3 linked regions of the Cricetulus griseus genome follow. The protein of the gene in region 1 interacts with the protein of each later gene in a biochemical or structural test. Links are inferred from orthologs where the notes say so. Each region holds a gene or a part of one and is shown in the gene's direction. Other genes may lie near its edges. The genes, in order: Srpk2, Luc7l and Rbm15.

Evidence for each region.
Region 2: of the proteins of Srpk2 (region 1) and Luc7l, one has a biochemical effect on the other in vitro, tested with the Homo sapiens proteins (2 studies listed by BioGRID and IntAct). The link is inferred for Cricetulus griseus from reciprocal best matches to the Homo sapiens genes SRPK2 and LUC7L.
Region 3: of the proteins of Srpk2 (region 1) and Rbm15, one has a biochemical effect on the other in vitro, tested with the Homo sapiens proteins (2 studies listed by BioGRID and IntAct). The link is inferred for Cricetulus griseus from reciprocal best matches to the Homo sapiens genes SRPK2 and RBM15.

The regions. Positions count from the first base shown.
Region 1 is NW_023276806.1:170,914,387-170,918,684, forward strand, and holds the start of Srpk2 (SRSF protein kinase 2), read left to right. Parts: upstream 1-1,392; 5' UTR 1,393-1,406; coding exon 1,407-1,422; intron 1,423-1,505; coding exon of another isoform or gene 1,506-1,560; intron 1,561-4,298. UniProt on the Homo sapiens protein: Serine/arginine-rich protein-specific kinase which specifically phosphorylates its substrates at serine residues located in regions rich in arginine/serine dipeptides, known as RS domains and is involved in the phosphorylation of SR splicing factors and the regulation of splicing.
Region 2 is NC_048600.1:45,892,652-45,896,298, forward strand, and holds part of Luc7l (putative RNA-binding protein Luc7-like 1), read left to right. Parts: intron 1-3,459; coding exon 3,460-3,636; intron 3,637-3,647. UniProt on the Homo sapiens protein: May bind to RNA via its Arg/Ser-rich domain.
Region 3 is NW_023276806.1:49,816,741-49,820,387, forward strand, and holds part of Rbm15 (RNA-binding protein 15), read left to right. Parts: coding exon 1-871; intron 872-3,647. UniProt on the Homo sapiens protein: RNA-binding protein that acts as a key regulator of N6-methyladenosine (m6A) methylation of RNAs, thereby regulating different processes, such as hematopoietic cell homeostasis, alternative splicing of mRNAs and X chromosome inactivation mediated by Xist RNA.

The DNA.
Region 1 (4,298 bases):
GATTCTGCAAAATAAACCATGCACACACTTAGAAGCAGATGGAAAGAAATGTTAAAAAAAAATGAATGTGGGTTAATAGCGTCCATTACTGCATTTTTCTCGTATTTTGTCCAGGAAATTGCGCTATAGACCAGGCAGGCCTCGAACTCACAGAGATCCACCTGCCTCTGCTTGTGCCTCTAGAATGCTGGGGTTAAAGGTGTGCGGCACCACCGCTCCGCTGTTTGATATTTTTTTTTTAGAATAAAAAAATGGAAAAAGTACATTCTCTTCAAACTCAAAGCAGCCTTTCGTGTTTGGACATTTTTAGAATAATACTCAATGATACAATTGTAACCAAAGGAGGTCTGAATGCTCAGGGCGTGTTATCTGTGAAAGATACTGTAACTGTTTAAAGAGCCCAAGAGAACACTGAGGTAAAAGCTATGTGCCAGTCAGCTTGATTCACATCCTGGGTAGCCTGGGAAGATGGAAAGAGAAACTAGCCAGGCGTGAATAAGGATAGGGTCTGGTAGTACTGTTCGACCTATTTCGGGTTGTTTCCCCATTGTAGGAGGAAGAAAAAAGCACTGCTTAGCATGATTTTTGTTTTAAGCTCTCATCTCACGGTATTTAGAAAACTGGGCTTCATGCGCCAAACTTTCCTTTCAAGCTATACGCATCTTTTCCTTCATTAACCTCACGCAGTCCTGTGGGAGTAGGAACAGGAGAGAGGCAATCACTTCTCCAAGGTCACCACACACTCAAGGACCTAGGTTCTCCGGCTCTTGTGCCCTTTCCACGCTCGCCAGAGAGGAGGAAGCTGCGCTCATGGGGATGCAGGGGTGCAGAGGCGTAGAGGGCGAGAAGAAGCCGCGGGAAGAGAGGTGGCGTGAGCACCGCGGAGGCGCGGGCGGAGGACAGGCGCGCGGAGGGGCGTGCGGCACGACCCGCCCGGGTGCGGAGCGAGGCGGGGCTGGGAGGAAGGGTCGCTCGGCTGGGCCCGGTGCTCAGGGGCCGGCGGCCTGCGGCGGAGGAGGCGCCCCGTGGGAGGCGGGGAGCGGGAGGCGGCGGCTGCTCGCTCGCTCGCCCGCCCGCTCCCCCGCTTTGGCACCCAGGCCGGCCGCAGGGCTGGCGGGCGCTGCGCCCCCCGGGGCGCGGCGGGGTCCCGACCCCTAGACACCGGAGGCGCGGTGGGAGCGCGGAGGGGGCGGGGCCGCGGGCGGGGCCGCGGGGGCGGGTCCCATTGGCCTCCGCGGGAGCGGCCACGGCGGCGCAGGCGCGGTTCCCGCCTCCTCCGGCCGGCGAGCGAGTGGAAGCTGCATCCCGGTGCGGCTGGCTGTCGCTGGTTGTCGCGCCGCCGCCGCCGCCGCCGCGCCGCCGCCCGCCCGCCCCTCCCCCCGGCCCCTCGGCTGCCCCGAGTCGGAATGAGCTCCAGGAAAGGTGAGCGGCGCGCGCGGCCCCTGCCCCGCCTCGCGGCCCGCAGGCGGCCGGCCGGACCGTTAATGTGTCTTCTCTCTCCTCAGTGCTGGCCATTCAGGCCCGAAAGCGGAGGCCGAAAAGAGAGAAACATCCGAAAAAGTGAGTCCGCGCGGCGCTCGGGCCCGGCCCCGCCCCGCCCCGCCCCGCCCCGCAGCGCCGAGGGCTGCTTGCGGCCGAGCTCCCCGGTCCCCGGTCCCCGGTCCCCGGGCCGCGGGCGGCGGGTCTCCTGGGACGCGGCGCCGGCTCTGCGCGCCCCAGCGAGGGAGGAGGGAGGAGGGAGGAGGGGGAGGGGCGCGCGGCCGCGGGTTCCGGAGCTGCGACCTGGCCCAGCGGCCTGCGAGCCTCACGCGCCCGAGCCACACCCGCGATCCGTACCCGGGTCCTGGTCCTGCGTCGCTCGGATGGGGAGCGAGCGGGCGGGCGAGCGGGCGAGCCAGGGAGGCGGCGGCGGCGGCGGCGGCGGCGGCGGCGGCGCGCTGACACCTGGGCGGAGGGAGCCAGCGCATAGCCGCCGCCGCGCGCCGCCGCCGCTGCCACCCCCGGCTCCCGTGTCGGCCATCGGGCCATCCAGCTTGTCAAGTGGTTTGGCCTCGGGCGCGTTCCTAGCGCGACTTCAGCTCCGGGACCGGTGCGTTTTCGGCTGTCGGATTTTTCATTCGAAACTTTGTGCTCGGGTCGAGCGTTACTTGCGCGCTGCTGCTGCGCCCAGGTCGCTCGCTGCAGCGGGCGGTGGGCGTGTGCGCGGGCGCGTCCCGCGTGGTGCTCCGGACTGCATCCTTCGGCTGGTGATATTTCAAATGTGCCAGCTCCAGCCACGTCCCGGTTGGGCGGCAGCTGCTGAAGAAGCCTTTCGCGGCGAGCTAGGTGCTCCGAGGCTTCCGAGCGCCGCCAAATGTGCCTTTTTCCTCCTGGGTTTGCCGGACCAGCGTTCAACATCTTTGCTCACGTTCACGTTGGTTGCTTCGTTCTTTTTGCGCAAGAAATTTGTGTGTGGTATCTTTAAAACTATTGAAGAAAAACAGAATCGCCTTTAGTAAAATCCGAAGTACTGTCTAGCTTTATTTTGCAAGGGTTGAGCAAAGGTTGCTCTATCCCCTAGGTGGTGGTTGTTGGCCCTAGTCTCAGCCTAGAGGATTTCCCACTCATTCGGTGGCATCTAGGAAAACTGGGAGTCATTGCTAATATGAAAGTGTTTTACAGTAGGATTGTCTTCATTCAAAATTGAATAAGATGTGGATATCTATGTAAATTTTTTTTTTAACTTAGGAGGCAAAACACTTGAAAACTGGAAGGTAAAAGTTGAAAATAAGAAAAAAGCTTTTGTGTTTGGATTTGGGGTGTGTACGAGCCCTGACACCTGTGGAAGTCAAGGAACAACTTTCAAGAGTTGATTCTCTACTATGTGTGGGACCCAGGGATCAAACTCCCGATGTCAGGCATGGTGGCGAGCACCTCTACCCTCTGAACCATCTCCCTGGGCATATACGGGGTATTTAAAATATTGAAACCCAGTGAAGGCTTCTGATAGTTTGATGCATTCTAAAAACTAGCGCTATTGCTGGGCTATGGTGGCACATGCCTTTAATCCTAGCACCCTCAAGGCAGAGGCAGGTGGAGCTCTTTGAGTTCAAGGCCAGCCTGATCCACAGAGTGAGTTCCAGGACAGCTAGGGCTACACAGAGAAACCCTGTCTCAGGACAGAAAAAAAAAAATCTGAAAGGAGTTGACAAAGCATGACTCAACTTTTTAGGATAGCTCTTTGTGTATAAGTGTACATTTATTTATGTGCATATTACATGTTCACATAGAAAAAGCATTTTTAATTGAGTGAGCATGTATTTCATTATTTTCCTGTTTTAGGATGTTTCATAATGGTCAAGGATCTTTGCTTTACTATAGCTTGCATTTGTGCTATGTAATGAACTAGGAATAGGAACATAATTTATCTAATCTTATATCACTTTGCCAGTCTCTTCTGTTTTGTACTGAGTTTGAAGGAAAACAATAGCAGTTAATGATGGGATGAACTGGCTTGATGTACAAGGTGTTTATCAGTAAGAACCCAGATCAAATCAGAGATGGTGGGAAGGTATGACTTTTAACTTAGGTTTTTTTAAAAAAAATTATTGTTTTATATAATTGATGGATACAATTATTCATGCATTTGATGCATATTTATATGCCTTAGAAGATGATGGGAAAGCTTTGTACACGACAGTAATACCCCATGAAGCTTAAAATTTTTTTTTTTAAATTTATTTATTAGTTCTAGTTAGGGAACAATCTTGTTTCACATGTAAGTCCCTTCTCCCTCTCCCTCCCCTCACCCCATCCCTCCTCCCCCACCCCCAGCCTACCCCCACCCCATCCACCCACCACTCCCCAGGCAGGGTAGGGCCCTCAACGGGGGCTCTGCAAAGTCCACCAAATCTTCCTGTGCTGGTCCTGGGCCCTTCCCCATGTGTCCAGGGCCAGAGTGTAACCCTTCACATGGGATGGGCTCTCAAAGTCCCTTCTTACACCAGGGAAAAATACTAATCCACCACCAGAGGCTCCCTGGAGTGCAGAGGCCTCCTTATTGACATCCATGTTCAGGGGTCTGGATCAGTCTTGTACTGGCCTCCCAGACAGCATCTGGGGTCGATGTGCTCTCCCTTGTTCAGGCCAATTGTTCCTGTGGGTTTCTCCAACCTGGTACAGACCCCTTTGCTCTTCATTCCTCCCTCTCTTCAACTAAATTCCCGATTTCAGCTCAGTGTATATCTGTGGATGTCTGTCTCTGCTTCCATCAGCCACTGGATGAGGGCTCTAGGATGGCATAAAGAGAAGTCATCAAT
Region 2 (3,647 bases), on another chromosome or scaffold:
ATTAAAGTTGGCAGCAAAGGTCAAATAGGCAGAACAGGATTGTTCTGATCTAATGCCTCATACCTTCAGTGGACACTTCCGTTACCTCTACTTGGTGGTGACATCATTGTGTCATCTACCTTTATTTAATTGCTTAGCTTAAAAGACAAAGACAGTGGATGGGGAGGGAGAACTGTGGTTAGAATGTAAAATGAAGTAAAAAAAAAATAATGGGGGGGAGATAAAAGAGATTCATAACATAGCTGAGATGCCTAGATAGAATTACCCTAAAAAACTATGGGACTAGTGCTTGGACTGTACCCTAGGGGTATAGAAACACCATGAATGTGGCAGTGATGAGTGATGGTGATGAGTCATGACTCAGATACCTTCTTGTACCAAGTACTCCCTAGGCTAGAGAGGAGGTGTTGTTCTTTTGTTTAAGTTAGCTGATACATAATCTCAATGGAACACATAGAGTTTATTAAAGGGGGAGAAGAGAGAGACGAGGGGAGAGAGAGGAGAGCAAGAGCAAAAAGAGCAAGAGGAGAGGGCAAGAGAGTGTAAGTGGGTGGGGGGTCTGTCTTTTAAAGGGGTCCTTTACATACACCTTTGTGCAGACTTAGTACTCATAGAACCCTGGGCTGACCAGAATTCTGCCTGGTAACAGGGGCAAGCCAGTATAATGCCTGAATCCTGACAGGAGGGATCTCTGCATCCTTCTTGGTTACAGGTATATACGTACAGTATGCCTTAAACCCTGGTAGAGGAGCAGGTACTAGCAGCTTCTCGATGGATCAGGGATTCAGAGGTAACTATAGGTTGCTGGTTTTATTGTACTCATACACACATCATACTCACAAATCTAATAACCTCCAATTAAAAGAAAATATGTAATAAGTAATACAGAGATCCTTTTGTAGCCACAACCCCTTCTGATTTCTGGTGATTAGGTGTGGTGTTCTCATTGGCTTTCCATTTCTATAACTGATTTTAAGAAAATGATAAGCTGGGCATGGTTTCCCATAACAGATATTTCAGGGCTTGAGAGCCTGAGGCAGAAGGATCTTGCATCCCAGACCAGCCTGGCCTAAACAATGAGAATATTAACTTTTTAATATGTATGGATGTTTTGCTTACATGTCCGTTTATATACCATGTGCTTGCAGAGGTATGAAAAGGGCATTGGATCCCCTGGGACTGGATGGTTGGGGTGCTGGGAGTTCAACCAGGGTTCTCTTATAGAGCAGCCAGCCAGTGCTCTTAACCCATATCTCCGGCCCTTAAGAGATCTATAGTCTATACTGCACATGTCTGTAGTCCCTCAGGACAGGTTAGAGGATCACATGAGTTAACATCTGTAAAGTACGCTTCTGGAAATGTACACCAAATTACAATAAACCCTTTCCTCCCAACTTGTTTTTTGTCTTGGTGTTTCATATAGCAGTAGTAACACTAGTTAATTAGTAATAGTAACTAAGACAAGGTCTTACTCAGTTAATTGCTATAGGCTTCCATTTTATCTACACAGAACATTTATTGTTTCTCAATTCTTGGTGGGTTTTCACATTAAATCGTTTTGTAGTGGTGACCTATTTTTTTTTTTTTTTAAGTTTGTTTTTTCATTTTTCGAGGCAGGGTTTCTCTGTTTAATAGCTCTGTATTCTGGAAGTCACTTTTAGACCAGGCTGTCTTCTTGGTTGTGAACTTTGCCTTTAACGGCTGAGCCATCTCTCCAGCCCCTAGACCAGGCTGTCTTCTAACTCACAGAGATCCACCTGCCCTCTCTGCCTCAGGAGTGCTGGGATTAAAGATGTGCACCCCCACTGCCTGGCTGGTAACCTTGTTTTTAATATATGGTGACACGGGTTAAATAAACATTTTAGTGTTCCTGAAGGATGCATATTATGTATTGGCTACTTTTTTCTTTAAGTAAAGTGTCAATGATTTGGCCTTTCAAAGTATCTTTTAGATCTGCATTAGATATTTCCTGTATATCAGGATATAATTGCTGTGACTGTGCTAGCTTTTGTTTACTTTTTAGAAATAAGTATTTTAAATTATGTGTGTGGGGATTTATGTGCATCTGTGTAGTTGGGTGAGGTGGACTAAAGGCAATGGATCTCCCTTGTTAGAATTATTGGAGGTTGTGAGCTGCCTCCTGACATGATGCTGGGAATGTATACTGCTCGTGCAGTTTGGTTTTTTGGTTTTTGGTTTTCCAAAACAGTTTTTCTGTGTAGCTTTGGAGGCTGTCCTGGAACTCACTCTGTGGACCAGGCTGGCCTCAAATTTATTCATAGAGATCCGCCTGCCTCTGCCTCCTGAGTATTAAAGGCCTGTGCCGCCACCACCCAATGCAAAGTATACATTCTTTTTTTTTTTTTAACATTAATTTATGTATTATATATACAACATTTTACCTCCGTGTATACCTGCATACCAGAAGAGGATACCAGATATCATTGTAGATGGACATGAGCCACCATGTGGTTGCTGGAAATTGAACTCAGGTCCTCTAAAACAGCAGCCAGTGCTCTTAACCTCTGAGACATCTCTGTGGCCCAACTTTTTTTTTTTTTTTAAGATTTTATTTATTTATTATGTATACAACATTCTGCTTCCATGTATGTCTGCACACCAGAAGAGGGCACCATATCTCATTACAGATGGTTGTGAGCCACCATGTGGTTGCTGGGAATTGAACTCAGGACGTCTGGAAGAACAGCCAGTGTGCTCTTAACCTCTGAGCCATCTCTCCAGCTCCAACTTTTTTTTTTTTTTTTAAGTTAAGAAAATTATCTTATGGCCTAGACAGTGGTGGCCTTTAATCCTAGCACTTGGGAGGCAGAGGCACAGCCAGGTCTACAAGAGCTAGTTCTAGGACAGCCTCCAAAGCCACAGAGAAACCCTGTGTCAAAAATATATATATATTTTATGTATGTGGGTGCTTTGCCTATATGGATGCACTGCGTGTGTTTAGTGCTCCCAGAAGCCAGAAGAGATCCTGTAACTGAAGTCATAGATGATTGTTATTTCCATTGTGGATGCTGGGAACCAAACCCAGGTCTTCTGAAAGAGCATCTAGTGCTCCTAACTGCTGAACCATCTCTCTCCAGCCCCAGTTTTTATTTACTTTTGAAGTCTTGTCTTCCCTGTTGGTCTCAGAACAGTCATTCTTATCTCCATGTTTCGAATGTTCCTTGTTGCTTTTGATAAGACACACATAAATGTAGGTTTTTTATGCTTTGTTTTTTGTTTTGTTTTGTTTTCTCTCAAGACAGGGTTTCTGTATGTAGCTCTAGCTGTCCTGGAAAACCGCCTCCCTCTAAATGTTCTTTTAAAATAAACAATGAAATTGAAGCTGAACAATCCAGTTTTCAACATGTAGTGAAATGTTAATTATATTTCAGGTTTTCCTGGGGTCTACATTGTGACAGTTCTGAAATGCCTCATCTTTATCCCTCTCTCCCCCCATAGGAAGAATATAGAAATTCCATGCCTGCATCCAGTTTTCAACAGCAAAAGCTCCGAGTCTGCGAGGTTTGTTCAGCTTACCTTGGTCTCCATGACAATGACCGTCGTCTTGCAGATCACTTCGGGGGCAAGTTACACTTGGGGTTCATTCAGATCCGAGAGAAGCTTGATCAGTTGAGGGTATGTTAATA
Region 3 (3,647 bases), about 120 Mb from region 1:
CGTCATTGCACTCCTTCTCCTGACCGAAGTCCAGAACTGAGCAGTAACAGAGATCGCTACAACAGTGACAACGATCGATCTTCTCGTCTTCTTTTGGAAAGGCCCTCTCCAATCAGAGATAGACGGGGCAGTTTGGAGAAGAGCCAGAGTGACAAGCGAGACCGTAAAAACTCTGCATCAGCTGAACGGGATAGGAAGCACCGGACAGCTGCTCCCACAGAGGGAAAAAACCCTCTGAAAAAGGAAGAACGTTCTGATGGCAATGCACCCAGTGCCAGCGCGTCATCATCAAAGCAGAAAGCTCCTTCCCAGAAACAGGATGGAGGGACAGCTCCTGTGGCAGCATCCTCTCCCAAACTCTGTTTGGCTTGGCAGGGCATGCTTCTACTGAAGAACAGCAACTTCCCTTCCAACATGCATCTATTGCAGGGTGACCTCCAAGTTGCTAGCAGTCTACTTGTGGAGGGTTCAACTGGAGGCAAAGTAGCCCAGCTCAAGATCACTCAGCGTCTCCGTTTGGACCAGCCCAAGTTGGATGAAGTAACTCGTCGCATCAAAGTGGCAGGGCCCAATGGTTATGCCATACTTCTGGCTGTACCTGGAAGTTCTGACAGCCGATCCTCCTCTTCGTCAGCTACATCAGACACTGCCACCTCTACACAGAGGCCACTTAGGAACCTTGTGTCCTATTTAAAGCAAAAGCAGGCAGCTGGGGTGATCAGCCTCCCTGTGGGGGGCAACAAAGACAAGGAGAACACAGGGGTTCTTCATGCCTTCCCACCTTGTGAGTTCTCTCAGCAGTTCCTGGATTCCCCTGCCAAGGCACTGGCCAAATCTGAAGAAGATTACCTGGTCATGATCATTGTTCGTGGTGCGTCCTAAAGTCCATGTGTAACTTGTATTTACTATTTTGACATGGTTCCTTGTTTTGTGATATGTAATGGGATACAGCATCAGATAAATTTCTTTCAATTAGTTTAGTTGGTTTTTTTATATATATATTTTTGTAAACCTCCTTAAAATAGATATTGGGGCGATTTAGCTATTATTTTAAGTGAAAGGGATGCCCTGAAGGTAGCAAGAGGATGGATTTGCTTTAATTAGGAATTACTTTTCTTTTTCTTCTGGTATTTTTTTTTTCAGTCTCTTGAGTTTAAAAAAAAATCCTCAAAATGATAAAACCTACAACTTTTAGAATCATAATTTGGAGGAAAGAGCCTTTTGTACTGAAAAAATAGTGTGATTGGTGCATAGATAGTTTCTATACTAGAAGCATTAATCAGGTATTCCAAAGTTCAATTATTTTAATCAGGTATTTGAGTATTTTTCTTATTCCCAGAAAGTTTGCTTGCTTTAACATTTATGTCATTAGTTTTTGAGTTTTGTATCCTGTGTATGTAGCTGTAATTGGTAAAAATTGAGGCTTGTGTTATAAACCATTTACATCTTTAGCTGGTCTGCAAGAAATGAGTAAGTGCTTTTAAAATGAGAAGTTTTTGGTAAGTTAGGTGCACAGTGGTGTTTTTATTGACTTTGAGGGGTACAGCAAATACAGTTTTAATTGTGTATACTTCAAAACCAAAAATTAAGTTTTTTGTATCCATTTAAGAAATTTCTGATTCCAGTAATAGAAAGAACAGCTGTCTGCAGGCTTATAAGTAACTCCCCCCCCACTCCCATGGTCATTAATCAAACATCTGAATTACAGATTTTTTTTAAGGTTATTGTAAAATGCCCTTGATATATTTGAAGAAAATTCCTTCATATTTTATCTTCATATTTAAACCAGAGTAGTGGCATTACATTGTTGACAGTGTTTTGAATATCTTTGAAATTTAATGTCTAGTATTCTAGTATTTTGACTGCTCTCTGGCCTTATAGAGGTTTGAAGTGTCAGTGTTAGAAACCCCTTTTTCTTTTTCTTTTTTTCTTTTTTTTGTTTTTTGTTTGTTTGTTTGTTTGTTTGTTTTTCGAGATAGGGTTTCTCTGTGTAGCTTGGAGCCTATCCTGGCACTCGCTCTGGAGACCAGGCTGGCCTTGAACTCACAGAGATCCGCCTGCCTCTGCCTCCCGAGTGCTGGGATTAAAGGGATGCACCACCAATGCCAGGCTTAGAAAATCCTTTTTTATTTGATTTCTCAGGTGTTTAAAAAAATTAAACACCTGCTCAGAACTCACCCACCCCACCCAAAATAAAAAGCTGAGGATACATGGCATCTGGTACTTAATGAGGGCTTCTGCTACTTAGTATTGTTTGTTTTATGTGCTCTTCTGCCACTATTTGTGATGTCTAAGTCCATTATTAAATATGATTTTCTTCCCCAATTTAAGTACTGAGGATTTCAAGTAGGGTTTGGTATTTAGTTATGATTAGGAACTTGAGTTTTTGGATCATGGTTGTTTTATATTCTGTGAAAGTGACTTACTCAAAGCCTTGCAGAGCCCAACTGTTTTCTTTCTGTTATCAAAGCTGGTAGATTTGAAATAGCATCAATAATAACCCAGAGAAATGTTACATGATTTTAATTTTTCATTGTGACAAGTGTATAATTCATGTCAGTCTGAGAGCCTCATCACCTACTACATCATACTTTTGTTTTTCACTGTTTATAATTTTTATATTAATTTGGAGACTTTTGAGAAAAAGAATGTACTAGGCTTATGAGCACAAGGCCCTTAGTGTGCCTATAGGAAAAATACCTGAAATCTACAACGAAGACTTTGGGTGTCTTTTGTTTCCAAGAACAGTAGTTGGCATGAAATAGACATCTATTCAGAAGCTGATGCGAGTATAGTCAGAGTACGTGGAGTTTAAGTACAGTTTTTAGTTAGGTAGATAGATTTTTTTTCTAGTTTAAATAATTTCACTAGCCATTAACCTTTTAATATTTTTTGGTAAGATAGTTGGGCAAATGATTTTGTTGTTAGAGAGTGAAGTCTGTGACATCTAATTTTACTATTAATCAAATGTGTTGTGATGGTTTTCCTTTTTTAAAAACATTGTTGGTTAACACCTTATTCAAGAGTACCAATTTTTGTTCCATGTTTGAACCCTTATCTGACAATGCTACGTTGTTTTGTTAGATCTGATCAATTAGTGCTTCAGTGTTTTTGAAACAGTGGCTTGATGCCATTTCCAAATATATGTATTATGTAAATTAGTTTGGTGCTTACCTACAAAGTGCCATCATCTTATTTGTGTTGCCCACTCTTGTGCAGGTTCATAATATCTGGCAATTAGCACTTAAACCTTCAGAATTTGATTGAAAGCAGCTTAAAACTGTTTCTAAATCTCATTGGCTGTATCAGAATCCCATATTGGATATTCTTTTAAAACATTATTTTATGCATATGGGTGTTTTGCCTGTATGTATGTCTGTATACCACATGCTCATTGCTCTTCCAGAGGACCCAGGTTTGGTTTCCAGCACCTAATCCTAGGGGATCCAACACCCTCTTCTGGCCTTGGGATACTCATTTTAACAACACATTTTTTTGTTTTTTGTTTTCTTTCTTTAATGACTAGTACTTTAACTTTTTTTTCTTTCTCCTAAAATGAATGGAAAGAAAATTTCTTAAGTATGCTATTTATTAAATATACTGGTAAAAATAAAATTAAGACTTTATTGATCACAGCTTCAAAGTTT